3 linked regions of the Nothobranchius furzeri genome follow. The protein of the gene in region 2 binds, or shares a complex with, the protein of the main gene of each other region. Links are inferred from orthologs where the notes say so. Each region holds a gene or a part of one and is shown on either strand. Other genes may lie near its edges.

Region 1 (3,647 bases), on a different chromosome or scaffold from region 2:
GATCAGCAGAAGCTTTTCCAGTTCGCGCCTCGCTTTTTTTACAGCAGTGGCCCAAAACGATCTCCTAACACGTGGATTTTCTGCTCCCTGATCATGTGACGTACGCAGATGATCGGCTTTAGAGCTGGGATGTTTGTTCTCACGGTGCGGGGGCTCATTCCGATGCCCACACAGTAAAAAAAATGCAATTGATGACTTAATTTGTCAATGGCAGTGAATGAGTTAACGAACCCAACAACAGTTTAAGATTCTGTTTACTTTCCAAGTGAATTTCCAAGAATCATGATTAATTTTCTATTTTTATGACCGATAACCGTTTTTCTAACCTGCTGTGTGCATGAACTTAGCATGGCTGTACCTGCAGCGGGGCCATTGGTCTGACCCAAGTAGCTGGGTGGGGGCATCGGGGGCATCACCAGGTTAAAGGGTATGGGAATATTCATCGCAGCCATGTGACCAGGCCCGGCGCCAATCATCCCAATCTGGTCGTGGGTTTGAAAGTACATGTTGGACGGACGTCCAGCTGAAAGGGTTTTAACAACACGACAAGTTTGACATTTGCCAACAACCCACTGATGTGATCAAATACATAAGAAATAGTAACCAAATACCAGCACTGCTGCGGTCGTAGGCGGAGCCGGGGATGAGCGCCTCACGAGCATCATACATGGCAGTACTCATAAAGCGCCCTCCCTGAAAAACATGCATCATTTCAAACTGCTGCAGGCTTTGTTCAACGAAGCCGACAATAGAAATGACAAGTACCAACTATTTTACTCATTTAGGGCTTATTCATGTAGGATTAGTTTATAGTGCTACTTACAGGGTTGATGGTGTTGACCAGTTTACGAGGCTTGCTGAACTGCATCAGACTCTCCCGCAGGTTGTTCAGAGGTCCCTCCACCAGAACCTTCTGCTCCTTGTAATAGTTCAGCAGGTTGTTCCACAGAGGCTGCTTAGAGAGGGCTTTTGGGTTCCCCACAATGATCACCCCATACCTACACACACACACACACACACACACACACACACACACACACACACACACACACACACACACACACACACACACACACACACACACACACACACACACACACACACACACACACACACACACACACACACACACACACACACACACACACACAGACACACACACACACAAGAAAAAATACCAGGAAATATTGGAAATATCAAAAATTTAAAAATCAATAATGCAACGAATGAGTTGATGATTTGACGTTCAAATGTTATCCAGATTCATTCTAACTGAGTTTGTTTACTTTGCTCTGGTCAGCGCCACGTTGAGACGACGAGGGTCGTTCAGGAAACCAATGCCCTGGTGCTCGTTGGCACGAACGCAAGACAGGATGATAAAGTCCTTCTCTCTGCCCTGGAAGGCGTCCACACTGGCAATTTCCACTTGCTATGGGAAAAAAACCAATGAAAGGCGATTAAAGGAGAGAATGGACTGTAAGAGCAAAGGAACAAGTAAGTTTTACACCAGAGAAAGTGGCAACAGCTCAACAGAGGCCTTGTTCATAAAGCTAGCTTAAGCACAAAATGAGGTCTGAAAATGACGTAAATCATTCTCTACGCAAGCTTTGTGGTTAAGAGCATGACGGCAAAATATGTGCAACTTTAGGCCAACCTTTACCCTAGCATCAGTACATTTTGAAGATAGGAAACCAACAAGAACCTGCAAGATGGTAAAATGGTGAATTTCAGCCTCACGTAAGGTGCAGGTTAGCAAAACACTCAGGCTGCGCTCCGGAATGTCCTTCCAGACATTGGTAAGGGAATGATGTGCGCATGTGCAGCTTGATCGCGTTACATCGACTGACCAATCATAAACCTTTCTCTGTGGATCTCACTCGTTCAAAAAAAAAAACAAAGACAAAAACAGCTGTTTACAAGCAAAGTAAGTTCAAGACACAGTGAGCCACATCTGAGGTGGATTTATTTTTATCAGGACTACTGACTCTCACACGACCAGCGTGAGACACGTATCTAACCATCTTCATGTGCTCTCACACCACACCTCCAATTTCTCAGGTTGATAAATAACTATAGTCGATCTCTTTGAGCGACATGCTGCATCATGCTGCTGTACACACACCTCCGCCGGGACAGGACTAAATTATTATTACAGGTTGAGGAAGTTCACTACAACATAGTTTATATGTTTGCACCATACCGTATAGCTTTCCTTTGTTGTCAGCAGATGGAGTATTTGTTATTTCAAACGGGGTACGTACTGGGTAATCTTAATAAGTTAAACTTCAGCCTATACCCTTTAGTCATAAACTATGAATAAGTGTATTGGCTCTTTTACATGAGGAATCAGGAGGTGTTTGTGATTATCCTGTTTCTTTTTTTATTATTATTTTCCTCTGACTGTGCAATGTTATAATCAAATAAATAAAAAAAATCAAACTTAATTAAAGACCATCTTAAATAATCTTCAGTCAAAATAATTGTGATCATCATTTTTGCCACAATAAAGCAGCCCTAATATATTGTTGTAAAACATGACGCTACATTCAGAATACATATTAATGCCTTCATTGTCTGATAGCGCATGTTAATAAAACTATGAACTAAAACTCTGCACCGCAGCAAACCTGGCACTTGGATATCTCAGCTATCCCTCAGCACCTTAATGCAGCCGTTTTGGGATGGAATCAATGATTATCGCCGTTTTCCTCTTTGCCTCCATCTGACCATTGTGTTTTAATGCTTATTTATTTTTAATTTTTTTATGTCCACAGCAATTGCTCAGCGGCTCAACAGCTCACTGTTGCAACACTCTAGGCCAAACACCTTTTTGTGCCTATGTCACAAAAGTCTCTGTTGCTATGGTTACTACATGAAATGCGATCAATCAGCTGGCCTATTTATATCCAGAGTATTCAAAGTACTCTGCAATGACCATTTGTCAGAAGGTGTGGTATATAGGAGCTGGGATTTGATCCAAAAACACCTGGGCACATATCTAGGAAGAGTGGGATTTACAGAACAGAATTGTGTGCAGCTGTGCGTACGCAGTGTTTTATAAGTTGGATAGTTTGCATAAGTAAATTTGTTTTTTGCTGAGCTCGAGTAGTTTTAACAAGATTCTATGCAAAGTTTTATAAATGAGGCCTCAGGGTCTTTTACTGATGCATGAAGTTATAAACTACACTGTTTTACTAGTAGATTTGGCATTTCAAAGACCTGAGGTGATCTTGTAGTTTAGCAGAATCTGGTACCTGATAGAGTTTGGTGTGAAGTGAACCACTGAACTGCATGTACTGGACCAGGTATGAGCGCTGGCCCTCATAGGGGGTGATGATGCCGATCTGATCCGGTTTGGCTCCTGCTTTGAGCAACCTGGTCGTGATTTTCTCAACGTTGGCTGCCTCAGTCCTAAAAAAAACACACACCAGAATCAATTAAAATCCATTTTCTGTTGAACTTTAAAACACAAATAAAAACATTTGAAAAGATGAATAAAACAAACATTTTAATAAATGGAAAAGGAACAGCTTGACTTCAGAATCAAACTACATCTTCGTTGTGTTTAGCTAGGCTTTACTGTTCATTGTCAATAATAAACATAAAACCCCTTTTTACATCAGTTAGATACTTAATTTCCCAAAAAG
Region 2 (3,647 bases):
TGACCTGTACTGGAATGTTTACTGTGTGAAGGTCCTTGAGACGACTCTGGTCCTGATTTAACGCTTTATAAATAAACTTGAATTGAATAGAAATGCGTGTTTGATGAGTCAGATCTGTTTCATTTACCTGAAACAAACTCGAGTCAGAGACAAAAGCTGTCATTAAATTTAATGAACGTGCTCTGAGCTGACGGGTTTTTGGGTAAGAGTGTGTGTATGTGTGTGTTGGGTTGTGGGTGGCGTGCACTCCCACACTCCGAGGAATGCTGCTCTGCAGGGACGACCGGGACCCAACAAACCCGTGAAACTGGCTGCTGCTCTAACACCCATCACTCTATGTAGACGAACGATTTCCGGCAGCTGAAACTCATCTTTACAGGGTATATACAGCAATCCTTAAGTAAAATTTACTACTTTTTAATACTTTTTTTTACTACCTTCAGAATTTTTTTAAAACCATCACAACACTAAATTGCAAGTGTTAATCAGCGACCTATTTACACATATTTTAACATATATAACATTCAAAAAGAATAGACTTAGAGACTCACTGATGTTGACAACGTATTGCACATATTTATTTTACTTAGAAAATAAGCCAGGCACTTCTGTTCAGCGGTTCAGACAGTTGACCACGAGGCCTGAAATGATGCAGAACGACCACTGAATATGACGTCATCATTATGTGACCGGATATGCTAAAGTAGGGCTGCTCGATTATGTTAAAAACAATAATCACGATTATTGTGACTGAAATTGAGATCTCGATTATTTAAGACGATTTTTCAATTTATGTTGATTTTTATTTTTTTATTTTGATTCAGTCATAAAATTGCTCAGGGCACAATCAGGACAAAAATAAATAAGAAAAAATATGATCACTAAAATAACTCCTGATTCCCAGTATAAAAAGACCAATATACTTATACCTCATAGTTTATGACCCACGGGCTGTAGACCTTGGTTTAACTCATTCAAGTCTAACCAGTACAGACCCAAACACCAATATCTTGCAAATACTGACAGCAAGAATTATACAGTGGCATTTATAACAAATAAATGCAAATAAATTGATGTTCACAAAATGTTACATAACATTTACTGAGTCGTGTCAAGGTGCTGTAGGAGCGTGCACTAGCACCGTGTCCTCAGAGAGGTTAGTTATTATTTATCAGCGTGAGGAAATTATTTCTACCTTATTTATAAACTATTTATTTACAAGTCCATCAGTTAATGTAATAATTGTCCCAACCACAGCTGCACCCCCCACCCCCCAACCCGGTCTCACAGCAATTGGGGCAAGCTGCACGTGTGTTTAGCACGCCGCACATTTAGCCGTTTTTAGCGGCTCAGGAGCCCGCAGGTGCGGTGTGTGTGTCACTCACTCTGGTTAATCCAACAAGGAGCCGGCTCCGAGAGCCATTTCTGTAGCGACCGACACATCACTACATCATTCCCTTTCCTAATGTCCTGAAGAACGGTCCGGAGCGCAGGCGGAGTGTTTAGCTAACCTGCAGGAAATGTCGACGACAGTTATCCAGAAAGTAGCTAAGGGTTACCAGAGATGTTTCTGAGGTGTTCGCTAGGTACTTTTAAGATTTAAAAAGTCAAGAAGGTGATCTGAGAAGCTGCTAGAAATAGCGTCAAAGTCGACAAGTTGGCAACATTGTGAGGAGCGCTTCATTTGCTACTCAAGGCAGCGCAAGTGGGAGGAGCAAATAATCGGCTTGTTTTGTTTTTATGATCGTTCAACACATTTCATTCGGAATATATTTCTATGTCGATGTTCAGAATACGACATCTGATAGTCTGAAAAAAATAATACCTAATTTGGAAAAAATAATACCTCTGAGACCAAATTTAACACTTTTAATGGCCTTAAATTTGACTATTTTTATTTATCACTTTTTAATACTTTTTAAAACCCCGCGGACACCCTGCTTTACCTAGTTTGACGAGCACCTCCCTCTCCAGGTCGGTGACCTGCTTGGTGGCCTCCTCCATGGAGCAGCTGAGCCTCATCTTGGGCCTGAGGAGCTCCAGCGTGTCACTGATCATATAGTCGATGTCAATGGGGAATGGGTGGTCCTTGGTCCAAATATCCAGGCTCTTCTTCCACCAGATGTACCTCTGCACACACACACACACACACAAAACAACGTTTCACTGATTCTGTAAACTCTCATGGTAAAGCCGAGAGACGACGAGCTTCATGGATCAGACATACCTGGAAGTAGACGAGGAAACAGTCCAGCTTCTTCTTGCTGGAGCCGCGATCAAAGTACTGGCCACAGGTATCGAGCAGGGTGCAGACCAGGCGGATCCGGAACAGGTGCTCCGGAGGATCCAGAAGGCTGGGGCTTCCGTCCTGGTTCACCCCGAAGTAGATGAAAGAGAAGAGGGTGCGGAATATGACCGCGGACTCCACCATGCGGTAGTTGTAGAGCTCGCCCAGGAACTTGGCGCTGCTGATGCGCCGCTGGTTAAACTTTGGCTGGTTGACCTGGAACCGACAGACAGGCGGTCATCAGATAAACGACCAAACAACAAAAGCTTTAAATAAATGTCCCGAAGAACCTGTGATGTTAGAGATGATGTCATCTTCCAGAGTTGATCAAAACAACCTAAATCCATCATTTCTCAGCATCAGACTAAGATATTTATCATTTTCATCATTAGTTTTTACGCATTTCAGAGTTTAAATATTAAAGATCCTAGTCAGAAACACTGGACTAGATTCTAACGCATGCAGGTGAATCTTTGTGCATTTGTGGAAAAATTAACGGCTCCATTTGAACTCGTAGAGCTTGAAAACGATCCTGCAACACGCCGCTGATTTCAGGTCTAACAGCAGTGGCGCCACACGCTACACACACACACACACACACACACACACACACACACACACACACACACACACACACACAAAGTATGTTTTCCTTTCCTCTCACTGGGCAGGACGTGCTGCACGCTCTGCATGCTGGAGCTGAACTTCACCTCTGCAGATGGTTTCTGGACCCAACGTAAGGATCAGAAAGTGTTTGAAGCTGTTTTCCTGTTTATAAAACAAGAAACAACAACAAACTACCGCTAAACGACGGACGTTCTATAGTCCTAGATTATTAAAATTAGGAGATTACAGCGAACGATTTAGAAATCCTTTATCGGACTCTTCTGATCTCAGGTGCTTCCACACCTCCAGCAGAAGACGAGGCTCCGTGTTTACGATGGGAGTGAGCCGCAGGAGGGACGGTTCAAGCAGGTAGATGACACAGTTCTTAGAAAATGTGCACAAAGCAGAACTGTGTGTGCACCGGTTTGATCAGCCGATCTGCTGCCAGCACATTCCAGCTCGAGCTCGGGTTTTAAAGGTCCCGTTGGAGAAAATCATAAACCTTTAAAATAAAGTCAGTCTGGTGAAGGTCAGAAGTTTGTCCAGCTGGGTTTTTACCTCCATGCCAAGCCGGATGTCCTCCAGCACACCGTCCACCACGTGGATGCCCACGTCCTCCTGGTAGGCCACCAGGCCAGCCAGCAGGTTGGCCACACAGTGGATGCTGTTGTACTTGACGTTCCAGATGTTGATCATGCAACAGATCAGGTAGCTTTTCCCCTCCGGATCCTGCCAGGGCAGCTTCCTCATCTGC
Region 3 (4,360 bases), about 48 Mb from region 2:
CGTTTCTTCTCCTAACACAGACCAAAGAGGATCACACCTCTGCCTCCGAAACTGGGAGCCCTGCTTAATCAGTGGAGCGCGTGGCTCCGAGACGCCATACTGCTGCTCGCAGGCCTGTCTCTTCACCTAACTCAAATGAACAAAAGCAGAGGTCTGCTCAGTCGTCTACTTTCTCAGCCACGTTCTTGCTCTCAGTATCTGGTTTTCTGTCGGCAGAGTTGGATTCTCTTCTGTCTGCTCCTGGTGTGGCACGGTGGCGGCTCCGGGCCCCTGGCTGGTAAAGCTGAATGGCGGGTCGGTCCTGTTGCAAATAATATAAATAAAATATTACAAAAGGAAAACAAACTCAGAAATTATTTGGCACAAGTGTGAGAAATAACTGGAGTCCGTACCTTATTCCGCAGTCGCTCCCTTTTGCTGCTCTCATCCTTTTTGTTCTCTTTGGCAGCCTTCTCCGTTTTCTCACCGCGAGGGGAATCTGCCATGTTTTCATTCCTCTTCTTCTCCAACGCCTTTTCTTTTTTAATCTCCTCTTCCCGCTTCCTGAACGTGTTCTCTCCATCATGCTGCTCCCTCCTCCTCCGTCTTTCCTCGTCCTGCCGTCTGAAGCGCTCCTTTTCCCTCTGCCGCCGCTCCTCCCGCTCTCTGTCTCGATCAAAGTCCCGCTCCCTGAATTCCTTTCTCCCACTTTCATCTCTTCTAAAAGGAAATCACAGCTGGAGTTAAATCAGTTAAATGTACAAACAAAAGTGCAAAATGCCAGGAAAAAAAGAACAAGAACTGACTTTCTTTCACGATCCTCCTTGTTCTCGATGTTATGTCTCCTCTTCAGATCACTGAATGACCGGACCTCTTTATGTGGCTTCTCTGGTTTCTTGGACTTCTCTTTAGGCTTTTCAGACTCTGCTTCATCATTTCTATCTGGTTTCTTCAGGAGCTGAATATAAAGACACAATCATCATGAGAAACTTGAAATTGACAGATGCATTTTTTTTTTTCACTGCACGAACCTTAATTTTTGGTTCTTCCTTAACGTGGTCCTTGTCTTTCTCCGGCAGTTTCTCAAGTCTTTTCATCTTCTCAGCCTCTTTCCGTTTTCTCCTCTCCTCCTCCCTCCACTTGCGACGCTCTTCGTCACGCAGGCGCTTGCGTTCAAGCTCCCTCCTTCGTCTCTCCTCTCTCTTTTCCTCCCTGATTCTCTGAAAGTTAAAATAGAAAGTTTGATGGATTCTTGCTAACATGCAGTTGAACCAATTTATCCTAAACACCAAAAAACGATTACCACATGCTTACCTGTTTATTCTTCAGGTAGTCCAACAAGGGCGTGGTCTTTTTAGCTAAAAGAAAGGGGAAGAAACCCACAATAAGAAATCTTGTCAAATGCAATGCTCCTGTTTACATACAAGCAGTTATAACAGTCCCATTTTTGGTTCTTTTTTAAACACAGATAAGGTTTTTCTTTACCTTGCTGACGTTTCGTTTACGGCTGCAAACATCTTCAGAGCTGACGCTGATGGTGGCGTCACTTCCTACACATCCACATCAGCGGCAGCTCTGAAGATGTTTGCAGCCGTAAACGAAACGTCAGCAAGGTAAAGAAAAACCTTATCTGTGTTTAAAAAAAGAACCAAAAATGGAATTTGAAGACAAACACAGCAAGTGATAACGGTGCTGTCATAAACAAACCTTCAAGTTCTTTTGATCTGGCCTCGATCTCCTCCAACAAGGTCTCAGGCGTAGATGTCAGCTTCTCTTCGTCTCCGTTGTAATATTCAAGAAATTTTTTATAATCAGGATCTGATAAAAACACAAACATGCTGAGCTATAGATTTTTATAGATAGATCTCAAAATAGATATGTTAGGGACGAACATGGAGTTTCTTCAAGCTTATTTCTTTTTATAACAGAGAAGATCAAAACCACCAGACAGTTTAAACCCTTGCCTTCAGTAATTGTTCCACACTTCGAGTCCTTCTTCTTACTTCTTTTCTTGGCTATCTTTTGAAACGGCGCAAACTCCACAATGGCTGGATACTCCTGTCCTGTTGAATGGCCAAACATAAACAAGGACAGTCTCAGGTCAACGCTCTGGAACACTTCACAGAAAACTGGGTGTGTGTTCTTGATACCTCTGTTGTCTATGAACACATATCCATCGAATCGATCTCTGAAGAGAACAATATCATCTTCATTTTTGAAACTGATGTAAGCCCTCGCGAAGAGATGGGGATACAGGCTAAAATGACCGGAAGTGCCATGTTAGACCAACACAATGAAGGAAATGCTAACAGTCATTTTACAGGTGAACTCACCTGGTGTCGTTTGAGAAAAACTCCATGTAGTCCACCTCTGGGAGAGGCTGCAGCTGCTCCTCTAACTCCTCTTTAGACAGACTTGGTGGTAATCGTCTGATTACAATCTACGAACACATTGTAAAAAGTTCACTACCTTAATTACTAAGCAGGGCTTTGTAAAATGAAATTTTGGTCCAGTCTTTAAATGTATAATTTCAATCGTAGAACATTTTATCTGAAAACAAAAACAAAACAAAAAAGTTAAACCATGCTTTTATTTAATAGAACTACACGAATCCAAAACTGACGTCTGTAGCAACATTAGCTGCTTTAGCTAGCAAGTTTTACCTTTGTCATGGCCTCTTTCTTTTCTTTTGACTTCTCAGTCTTTTCTCCATCTTCACACTTTAGCTCCACTTTTTTCTCCTTCGGTCGAGTGTTTTCTTTGTCTTCTTTCATAGCTGAACGTCTACAGAGATCCACAGCCTGCTCTCATCTCACTCAACAGACTTGTTTACTTTTCAGAGAGTTAGCCAGCTAGCAGCTAGATACTAACCGCTCGAAACTTCCTTTCTGACTACTGAAGCTGCATTTACAAGTTTTTACCAGGAGGTGGCGCTAAATACAAAGCAATTACACATTTAAAAAAAAATGTTTTTGGTAATTACTATTTTCGGTAATTACTGGTAATTATATTTTTGTTAATGTCCATTCTAAAATATTTTTCTATAGTAAATTTTTTTGTAGAGCTAGGGTTAAGTCTGATGTAAAGTTAAGATTGAGATATGTCTACTGTCCACTTAGTGACACTAGACATCTTTTTATTGGAAACATTGCATTGTTTCCCTATTTGTGTTTCAAATTTTCCTTGTTCGTTACTTTTATGTATTTGATTAATGTATTTTGTGATACGTTTATCCCACGACCCTGCATGGACTAACAGGTATAGAGAGTGGATGGATGATACTTTTATTTTATTTATCTTTTAATAGTATTACCAAATTGTATCTTTATCTGTTTATAAAGTTACTCTATCTATCTATCTATCTATCTATCTATCTATCTATCTATCTATCTATCTATCTATCTATCTATCTATCTATCTATCTATCTATCTATCTATCTATCTATCCATCCATCCATCCATCCATCCATCCATCCATCCATCCATCCATCCATCCATCCATCCATCCATCCATCCATCCATCCATCCATCCATCCATCCATCCATCCATCCATCCATCCATCCATCCATCCATCCATCCATCATCTAGTAAAGTAAGTAAGTAAATTTATTTATATAGCACTCATCAAAGACAGAAAACCACAGTGCTTCACATAGATCAAAACAAAACAAATCATAAAGTCATAAAATCATAATGATCTTAAAAAAAGATTAAAACAGAAAAGTTAAGTCATTAAATGATAAAATACCATAAAACAGATGAAAGATGATTTCTAATTTTGAGTTAAAAATAAGAAAATAAAAGATTTAGGTAAAAGTAGCTTTAAATAAAAGGGTCTTTAGCTGTTTTTTTAAAAGTGTCTAAACTGTCAATGCTACATAAAGATAAAGGAAGATCATTCCAGAGTCGGGGTGCAACAGTCTGGAAGGAGCTATCCCCTCGACTTTTATATCTGGTCTTTGGAACATCTGGAACGTTCTGGTGAGTGGACCTGAGGGCTCGGATTGGAGCATAAGGCTTTAACAGTTCAGTAATATAGGGCGGAGCTTGACCATGTAGAGCATTGAAAGTTGTCGTCGTCGTCTTCCTCCGCTTATCCGGGTCCGGGTCGCGGGGGCAGCATCCCAACTAGGGAGCTCCAGGCCGTCCTCTCCCCGGCCTTGTCCACCAGCTCCTCCGGCAGGACCCCAAGGCGTTCCCGGACCAGATTGGAGATGTAACCTCTCCAACGTGTCCTGGGTCGACTCGGGGGCCTTCTACCGGCAGGACATGCCCGAAACACCTCCCCGGGGAGGCGTCCAGGAGGCATCCTGACCAGATGCCCAAACCACCTCAACTGGCTCCTTTCGATCCGGAGGAGCAGCGGTTCTACTCCGAGTC

What was found.
Region 1: the proteins of upf2 (region 2) and upf1 are in contact, whole or in part, in a crystal structure (PDB 2WJV), measured with the Homo sapiens proteins. The link is inferred for Nothobranchius furzeri from reciprocal best matches to the Homo sapiens genes UPF2 and UPF1. Residues at the interface, in NP_056357.1 of Homo sapiens: Val1105, Cys1107, Glu1109, Asp1110, Phe1113, Ile1114, Ala1116, Leu1117, Met1120, Met1121, Asn1124, Leu1125, Arg1128, Met1169, Pro1170, Phe1171, Val1172, Met1173, Leu1174, Thr1175, Gln1181, Lys1184, Leu1186, Asn1187, Val1188, Pro1189, Ser1192, Gln1193, Leu1194, Asn1197; in NP_001284478.1 of Homo sapiens: Asn150, Thr151, Ser152, Gly153, Val157, Asn158, Leu160, Val161, Arg162, Lys164, Lys166, Pro175, Leu176, Gly177, Thr179, Tyr184, Cys188, Asn190, Val191, Phe192, Leu193, Phe196, Pro198, Asp202, Ser203, Val204, Val205, Val206, Leu207, Cys209.
Region 3: the proteins of upf2 (region 2) and upf3b are in contact, whole or in part, in a crystal structure (PDB 7NWU), measured with the Homo sapiens proteins. The link is inferred for Nothobranchius furzeri from reciprocal best matches to the Homo sapiens genes UPF2 and UPF3B. Residues at the interface, in NP_056357.1 of Homo sapiens: Lys767, Arg768, Pro769, Pro770, Leu771, Glu773, Tyr774, Lys777, Lys790, Arg793, Gln794, Arg796, Lys797, Leu798, Pro799, Trp800, Gln801, Cys811, Ile814, Asn815, Trp817, Tyr837, Gln838, Glu839, Asp840, Ile843, His844, Val846, Asp847, Gly848; in NP_542199.1 of Homo sapiens: Lys52, Arg56, Arg57, Tyr79, Glu81, Phe83, Asn85, Asp86, Thr87, Ser88, Leu89, Tyr90, His92, Tyr94, Arg96, Tyr98, Ile130, Glu132, Pro135, Phe136, Lys138, Ala139, Ala140, Arg147, Asp148, Lys150, Val151, Gly152, Thr153, Ile154.

The regions. Positions count from the first base shown.
Region 1 is NC_091748.1:65,897,864-65,901,510, reverse strand, and holds part of upf1 (regulator of nonsense transcripts 1), read right to left. Parts: intron 3,412-3,647; coding exon 3,255-3,411; intron 1,430-3,254; coding exon 1,287-1,429; intron 999-1,286; coding exon 824-998; intron 694-823; coding exon 612-693; intron 524-611; coding exon 359-523; intron 1-358. UniProt on the Homo sapiens protein: RNA-dependent helicase required for nonsense-mediated decay (NMD) of aberrant mRNAs containing premature stop codons and modulates the expression level of normal mRNAs.
Region 2 is NC_091741.1:38,118,447-38,122,093, reverse strand, and holds part of upf2 (regulator of nonsense transcripts 2), read right to left. Parts: coding exon 3,452-3,647; intron 2,504-3,451; coding exon 2,228-2,503; intron 2,131-2,227; coding exon 1,947-2,130; intron 1-1,946. UniProt on the Homo sapiens protein: Involved in nonsense-mediated decay (NMD) of mRNAs containing premature stop codons by associating with the nuclear exon junction complex (EJC).
Region 3 is NC_091741.1:85,713,613-85,717,972, reverse strand, and holds the start of upf3b (regulator of nonsense transcripts 3B), read right to left. Parts: upstream 2,880-4,360; 5' UTR 2,754-2,879; coding exon 2,643-2,753; intron 2,420-2,642; coding exon 2,313-2,419; intron 2,237-2,312; coding exon 2,130-2,236; intron 2,043-2,129; coding exon 1,944-2,042; intron 1,798-1,943; coding exon 1,687-1,797; intron 1,338-1,686; coding exon 1,294-1,337; intron 1,200-1,293; coding exon 1,011-1,199; intron 938-1,010; coding exon 786-937; intron 700-785; coding exon 393-699; intron 302-392; coding exon 158-301; 3' UTR 1-157. UniProt on the Homo sapiens protein: Involved in nonsense-mediated decay (NMD) of mRNAs containing premature stop codons by associating with the nuclear exon junction complex (EJC) and serving as link between the EJC core and NMD machinery.